2 linked regions of the Arabidopsis thaliana genome follow. The protein of the gene in region 2 interacts with the protein of the main gene of each other region in a pairwise test. Each region holds a gene or a part of one and is shown on either strand. Other genes may lie near its edges.

Region 1 (4,175 bases), on a different chromosome or scaffold from region 2:
CAAGCAGCAGATCTACGGCTAAAACCTAGGATTTCAGATCAATTACCAACAGAATCAAACTTGTTCAGAAAGATCTCTCCACCTCCTAAATCAATCAAGTAGGGTTCGTCTTCCTCCTCGAATAAATCTGAAGATACAAATTTCTCTATCGAAGATAAGAGAAGTAGAGAGAATCTGGATCGAGATCAGAGAGATCCAAGACTCCCTTCGAATTTACTTACTAGTGTTTGAGATTTGGGCGGAAGAACAGATATGAAACGACTTCGTTTCCTTGCTTAAGTTGTTGAAAGGTAGAAGATGAGATCGGTTCGGGACAATCTACACAACGCACCAAAACCGGATCATAAATCACACCGATCAAAATCCATTATAAACCAAATTACCGGTAACAACTAAACCGAAACAGTTGACCTCGTTGACGCTTACAAGTTACAGAGCTGTCACACAGGCTTTTTTTACAAGTTGCTTTTTTCACATTTCCTTCCCGGTACAATCTTAGTCTGACGCATTTCGGGTCAAATGTCGGTTTAATAATGGATATAAGAATACAAGTAATTCAGGTTTTTCTAAATCATTCTTGAGTCTAATCAAATAAGGATTGGATTCAGATCGCAGTATTTTGGACAACCGTGACCCAAAAAAATTCAACACTACTTTTTAAATAAATATACGCTTAAGATTTTATATCTAGTGAGTCAGTGACCTACAAAATGTACTCATAGCAATATACATACATTAAACATTTATAACCACGAAATAAGTAACTCCTTTATTATACACCTATCAAATTATACAAAGCATTGAGATTATAATATTAATATTGTTGGTATCTTACAATCTCAACGAGGATGAGAGATTTGGATTAAGATCGAAGAAGAGAGTGTTGGTTCCAGTTATCATGATCATAAGATAAAACCATTTCATTGTAATAGACATTAGAGAGACTCTCATGGTTATGGACTCCTTCATATGTTGTAATTACATAAGCTGCATCGTCACCATCTCTCTCTACCCTCTTCTTCACCGAGCAACCTTCACTTGAGCATTTGTAGTAATTCCTTTATATTATAAATTCATCCACCACATGTTAAATTGTAATCACTTTTATAATATATCGCACCAAGTTATATATATATATATATATATATATATATGTATGTATATATATAAGAATATCATTAACCAATTACAGAGTGTGTAAATTGCTTTCAAACCATGCTTTGAATGAAAGTGATATGTTTAGATGATGAATTCATTATATTTGTTTCTCTTATGATATATGAGTCAAAATAAATCTATACGATGACTGATTATCAACCATGGATTCATTGATCCATATACCACTAATCAATCAATTTTGCTATAGGAACCTTTTATATATTTGTATAAACAAAACACACATGCATGATGTATATAGAAGCTAAATTTTATTCCAAGTGGGTTGGTAGATAATACGGGTCCATTAAATAGTATTCAAATCACTATATGGTCTAGCTAGCTAGTGGCTATATATTCTATAACAACAGGATTACAAGATGGTTATAGAAAATTATCAAGCAACCATATGTTATGTTAAAAACAAGTACTAGTAAAACATATTAATTAGATCAAATGAGTAATTTGTAAATGAATAAGTTACCTCTTGTTAATGTTGTTTTTGACAGATTTCTTGCCATACTTCCTCCATTTAAAACCATCATCCATCACATCAATCTTCGATCTCGTTCTAAATGCAACTCGATGACCCGTCTCCTTCGTCTGATCACTCTCTTTACTTCCTCTATTACTACAATATTTATTATCAAAAAGATTAATGAATAAAACTATATATAATGAAATACTAATTGCTTGGTTAAGAATCTTGCCAACAATAATAATTAAAAAGGAACTCACGTTGATTCCTTTTTACTCAACGTTGTTGCGCTGCCGGATCCGCCGCTTTCCCCGGTAAATGTCTCCGACGAAACGATGCTTGTCGGAGATGAGATCTCTTCCTCGATTAATCCATTGTTACCTCCTTCATCTATGTCAAAGAACATCAAATTTGAGAAATCGTTGTTATCCATAAACGGATTAATAAAGTTTTCATCGGAGAAGTACGTAAAATTAGGGCTAGGGTTTTGAGAGATATTCATTTTTTTTTGTTTTTGAAATAGAAAAAAAAATAATTGAGAGAGAGAGAGAGAGAGGTTTAAAGCATCCAAGAACTAGAGCAAGTGAAGAAGAGAAGAGAAAGAGTTATAATGGTCAGTTATTTATATAAAAATGAAAATTATTGTAACAAGTTTTTGTTAAGAAAAGAGGATAATTAAGAGATAAAGATTATTAAACAACTACTACTTATGTCAAGCAATTTCAGGGTAGATACTAGGAAGGTGCTTCAATGCCACGTGTGAAAAAAGGAATATGATGATGACGTCATCTGTTATGACGTATGGACAGACGTTAATAAGGGTGGCGAAAAGTGAGCTTCCACTTAAAGTAATTGTTTTTTTGCTTGGGCTTTACGGGCCCATTTTAAGAGATTTTATCGTCTACATTAGGTAACGTTGATAATTGGATTTTGGTCTTTGGATCAACGGCTGAGGATTTAAGTTGTAAGTTTGCTTATGCTGCGTTTGAAGCAGACAGGACTTTACTTTACAGTGCACACCAAGACACAATAAGATTTGACTTATTGAATTATGTAAATGTAAATTATACTATTAAAGATATTGTCACAAACTTTATTGATTTCTTTTTGGCCTAACTTTTATTTAGCAAATCCTTCAAAATGGTTATCTCATCTGGTCTGGTGAATCCACATATATATATATATATATATATATATATATATATGCAGATCAATATGATTTCGAAAGTTATAAAATTCCGTCTGTTTTTTTACCAAAGATTAACTCTATTAATTAACTAGCTTATAATATTGTTAAAAATCTTATATAAACTATACTCCAATATTGATGGGAAACAGCAAATGCGTTTTTTAATGTTGGCAACATTTTATATATTTTATTTTTTCTTATTAGTCGTTTTTTGTTCTTCCAGAAGTTTTGGCACATTGCAATGTATCATCATACATATATGAATCGTTGACCCACACATATATCATATATGTATGACCAAGTTTTTTTGCTAAGTCTATTCTTAAGTCAACGATTCAAAATTTCAAAGTGGTCTTTTAATCTTGTCTTAAAAGGTAAGACGAAATTTCTTGGTGCCACTCTTAATTGTTTTTGTAACTACAATAATATTCTCTCTGTATTGTGTTAAAACAAACATAAAAACTAATTAACTGAGAATAAACACAGAAACATGTAGTGTGGCTCTGTTTTTAAGAAACACATGACTGGAATCATATAAATATTACCTATTTGAGTGATTTTACATGCAAATGATTAAAAGTTTAAAATCAGATAGTGTTAAAACTTAAACGTTTGCACAAAAAAATGTGTTTTAACTATGATTAACTAAAGTAATTAAGAAGAAGAAAAAGCAATAAAATATAGTATTTTTTAAAAAAGAGGCTAAAATATAAACTGAAAGACTGAAAAAGAAGGGCGGCTGGCCAAAAGTGAAGGAGTGTGTTAGTGTGGGGTTCTAATTGAAAGAACCCCTTTTTCAAGGGGAAAATCTGAAAAAATAAAAAATAATTACATATCTATATTTTAGTGAATTGCTTTGAAAGTGATATATGGACATTTATTAATGAACACCAACCACCTATCAGCTAAAACAGAAAAAAAAACAAAAAAAAAAGATGAGTTACAAGTTACTGACCTTTATATATACAACAATATACCTTATTAGTACGTAAAAAAGAATAATACTGTATTTTGTTAAAACAAATTACAATGACAAAAGAAAATTCACAAAAACGTACTTTTACTCAGTTTATTCTAACATATCACGATATTTTTTCGATTCCATTATTTCTGTTTGCCATATCGTTCCAGCAACTTTGAGCATACAAAATTTAAATGCTAGAAACAATTGAAATTTATCTCATACTATTTTAGAGTTTCCAACCCAACCTAATTAAAGACTATTAATCTTGAAAAGTAAACTAACTTATAACGATACATATATACACCAAACGAACAATTTACGAAGTCGAAGTATGTTGCATCTTTCTCAGTAGTCAGTACTCTACTTGTTGTGCAAAGGATTTGGACCTG
Region 2 (3,929 bases):
AATGTTTTCATCCAATATTATGCAACCAAAACCGATTTAGACTAAAACAAATAATCCCAATGCCTGAAAAAGTAGACTAATTAATAAGTATAACATGTGCAGAACCTTACAAAATAAGATAAAATAAATGTTGACGTTCGAGAACTTTGAGAAGGTAAACCAAACTAAACCAAAACACAGAAGCAAGGGAGTAAACCGTAATCATATACCTTTTCGTTCTTTTGGAAACCAGACCGAATAATTTGGCTTTATATGAAAAGGTCAACGGACACTAAAATCTCAAAACAATTTTGGTGTACCGTTACGGCTATATTCGGTTCGGATCAATTTTCTTTGCATTTTGTTGATAGGTTATATCATTTTGTTTTACTTTATTTTGATAAAAGGGTTAATATTACTCACTGTTGAAAATGATATATTATACACGTACATCAAATATGAAAACACGTTATTTATTTTAGTTGAAGTACTACATGTATAATAAATATCATTTTCAACATTTGTAACAAAAGATTAGTAAACAATAATAATAAAAAAAATAATTTAGCTTGAGCCAGAATATTCTTGTTAACTTACAGTTTAATTTAATTAGTGTAACTGTACTTTAACCGAATAACCGTTATGTAAGTATCGATATTCAATATACACAATCAATCAGAGTATCTATATCGAAAACAAGTCGATCCTTGTTCTAATTCCATACAAACTTTTTCCCCAAAATTAAAGTACAGCAATCATCACATTTATCTGCACACCAAAGAATTAATACACATCCAATAATAGCACATCAATGAAGTTACATAATAAAACTAGGGCTTTTTTGACCGACCACATCTTAATTAGATACAGCCACTTCTCCTAGAAGGGCTGCACGTAGATTAAACTCTCTTCATCACAACTCTCAACCTTGGCAAAGTCAGTCCCGCCAAAAGTTTATGTCTCTCATCATACCCATTTGTTATATCTATATACAACTTCTATGCCTTTTTTCTCCCACAAAATATGACCTTATCGTTGCGATTAGATCTCATCTCACCAAATGCGATTTGCAGAATCAATAAGATTGAAAACCCTAGAAATTAATCTGTTATTAATTAAGACGAATTATGAGCCTTTGTATCGAAGTTGGTGTTGTTGTTGTTGTTGTTGTTGTTGTTGTTGTTGTTGTTGTTGTTGTTGTTGAAGATGAAACCTTCGACTTGTGAAGAAGAAGAGGATCTCATGGGAAACGAAGAGAAGTAATCTTCTCCGACATCTTGAATTAAACCTTCTAGATCAAAGTACGTGTTTGTGTTCGAAGTACTCTGATCACCTGATCCCCACTCTTCTTTCACCTGGTGGTTTCCTCCGTTTGCTAGTAAACCGGTGAAACCCGAAAGCCTGTTGACCGGCTGATGATCATCGCAAACCGGTTCTTGGGGAGTCGTAATTCTTGATTTGGCTCTCTTTTTACCGGTTTTGGCTTCTCCCGGTGCCGGTTTCCCGGTTAGACTCTGGACGAGTGAACGAAAGTTCTTGACGTCGGTCTTGATGACCTCCGGTGCAAATATATGGATTATGCGAATCTTGGGTTTGATCTTGGATATTACTTGTGAATTCCTGTTCATGGAAACCCTAGAACTCGAACCTTCATGAAAACTTTGATATTGAGTAATCTCCATTGAAGAAACTATAAACGATTGAGAAAAGATTTGATCCTTTTTTAGATATCTGTAATTTGAACCAAAATAATTCGTATGCCGTGGAATAATACTGCGGCGGGTTATTTATATATAGATAATTATAAATATATTGGATTGTTGGTTAGTCAATAACATTAAATTAACAACAAACTTGAATATTGAAATAACAAAGAAGGTGTATAACGAAACAGCTATGGACCTGCCTCCATGACACACAACAACAACTTGATTTAAATAAAGTTTTATGTGTGTATCACTATTATTTTACACTAGTACATTTTAGTTTAATTTTTAATTTACAGTCGGAATAAAATAATGTGTTTATGATTTGTGATTAATCAACTGACGATAAATCTAAACTATAATATTATACAAACATCATATAGTTAGAATATCTAAACAGATAGCGTGAGCCATATATATGTCTTTAATTTGGTCGCAAATGTGTCTGTGTGTGTGAAAGTTTTAATTTGTCGGCATGTCTGTTCTGTTCTGTTTTTGGCTTCCCTATAGTTTCTGTAGAAAAATAATTAAATATGATGCTAATTCTATTTGAAAACACTTCTTTTACTAGTTTCATTTTTTGTCTAAGCCGTAATAATGAATCTACGGTTTGGGCGTCTCTACATGATCAAATGATTGATAGTCCCGTTATATTGTTTTGGCTAATGACGTCGTGTGTGGAATTTTACTTTATCATAACTTATAACAATATTAGTAGATGGAAACTAAAATGGCATGCAATTTTATATCGATTTGTGGGGTCAAAATCTGACTCAGGAAACGGTCACTTGAAAACCGACCTAATTCAAATCATAAGTTTTATTTCACTTTCTTTGGTTTGATGATGCTCTTTAAGTCATATTTCTTATAATTTATATATATATATATATAACTATACCAAGGTAATAAACATGAAGATCCCACTTGACGCAGATCATTAATTTTCGTATAAGCTAATTTTGTTTGAATTTAGTTTTAATAAAACCAAAAGTTACCTTCTAAACTATCCCCACTTAAATAGGTTTGTAATGTCTATCTCATCAATTTTCATCTCTATGTTTAGACACTTACATATGCATGAGATCATTCATCTACACATGTTTGAGGTGTCGACACGGATAGATATGCCTTTGTGTGCTTAAAAACAAAGAAAAAATGTGTACTCGTTGGTTTTTATTTAAGTAATTATTTTGTACGAAAGAAATATTTTATACAAAAATGACATACAAACCTACAATAAAGAATTTGAAAGTTGCAAAGAAATAAAATAATAGTTGACTTTTGTTTTGCCAAAGAAGCAAACAAGAGCGACAGGGTGGATTTAACCTCCGTTGACATTACGTAATTTGTCGTTATTTATATTGCAAAAAAACATATTTAGATAATTGGAGAGTCGAATTAGAATTCGAGTATTATCGAGAGGTCTTAGAAAACTTACACACGGAACTGTGTTTTATTTTCTAGTCGTTACAACATATTTGCAATAATGATCATTTCTACAAAATTACATTTAATTTGAAATAAGCAGAATATAATATATGTACTTATACAAGTATACAACACCACTCTTTTTGGTGAATTCTTGAAGCCTACCGCCTATGTAGTCCACCTTTCGATGTTGCTTTGGCCTAAGTGTGATAATTTTGGTTTTACTTATACAATATCACTCTTTTTGGTGAATTCTTGTACGAAACCACTATTTGGTGGTTTTGACCTTGATTAATTAATTCTTGCAAACAATAGCCTATGATCATAGGGAGAGGTCATATTAGTTGCAGACTTTCAGTATTGATAATTATTCTGTTTATATTAACGTCAATCCATTTAGAAGTCAAACTTATTTAAATCTATAAATGTAAACCATACTATTTGATATAATTGGCGCATTTGGTTACATAAATCTCAGAGATTCGATATAAATAGCTGTATGGTTACATAAATAGCTGTATGTTTGTTCCACCAAAAAAAAAAAATAGCTGTATGTTTGTTTGTTTTAAATCAGGTGAATAACATAAATTTGGGGGAAAAAAATCTATGTAGTCATTATTAAATGCCATTACGCGGACTGGGAGACTTGTTCTACATATGCGAACTGCTTAAAACAAATATATATATGCAAAGGCCATAAATTAGAAATCATATCATCCATCAATTTAGATATTTAGAGAGTGGAGTTCATTAAAAAAAAAAAAAAAAACCGTCAACTGGAGTTCAGTGATTCTTTTTTTTTTTCATTCAATATAC

Evidence for each region.
Region 1: the proteins of AT2G44340 (region 2) and WRKY51 interact in a two-hybrid assay, tested with the Arabidopsis thaliana proteins (one study listed by BioGRID).

What each region holds. Positions count from the first base shown.
Region 1 is NC_003076.8:25,906,375-25,910,549, reverse strand, and holds WRKY51 (WRKY DNA-binding protein 51), read right to left. Parts: upstream 2,304-4,175; 5' UTR 2,136-2,303; coding exon 1,894-2,135; intron 1,787-1,893; coding exon 1,640-1,786; intron 1,059-1,639; coding exon 863-1,058; 3' UTR 669-862; downstream 1-668. Other genes in the region: CLE21 (CLAVATA3/ESR-RELATED 21), read right to left, coding at 4,147-4,175. UniProt on the Arabidopsis thaliana protein: Transcription factor. Interacts specifically with the W box (5'-(T)TGAC[CT]-3'), a frequently occurring elicitor-responsive cis-acting element. Involved in defense responses.
Region 2 is NC_003071.7:18,312,011-18,315,939, reverse strand, and holds AT2G44340 (VQ motif-containing protein), read right to left. Parts: upstream 1,753-3,929; 5' UTR 1,662-1,752; coding exon 1,095-1,661; 3' UTR 618-1,094; downstream 1-617. UniProt on the Arabidopsis thaliana protein: May function as positive regulator of plant growth.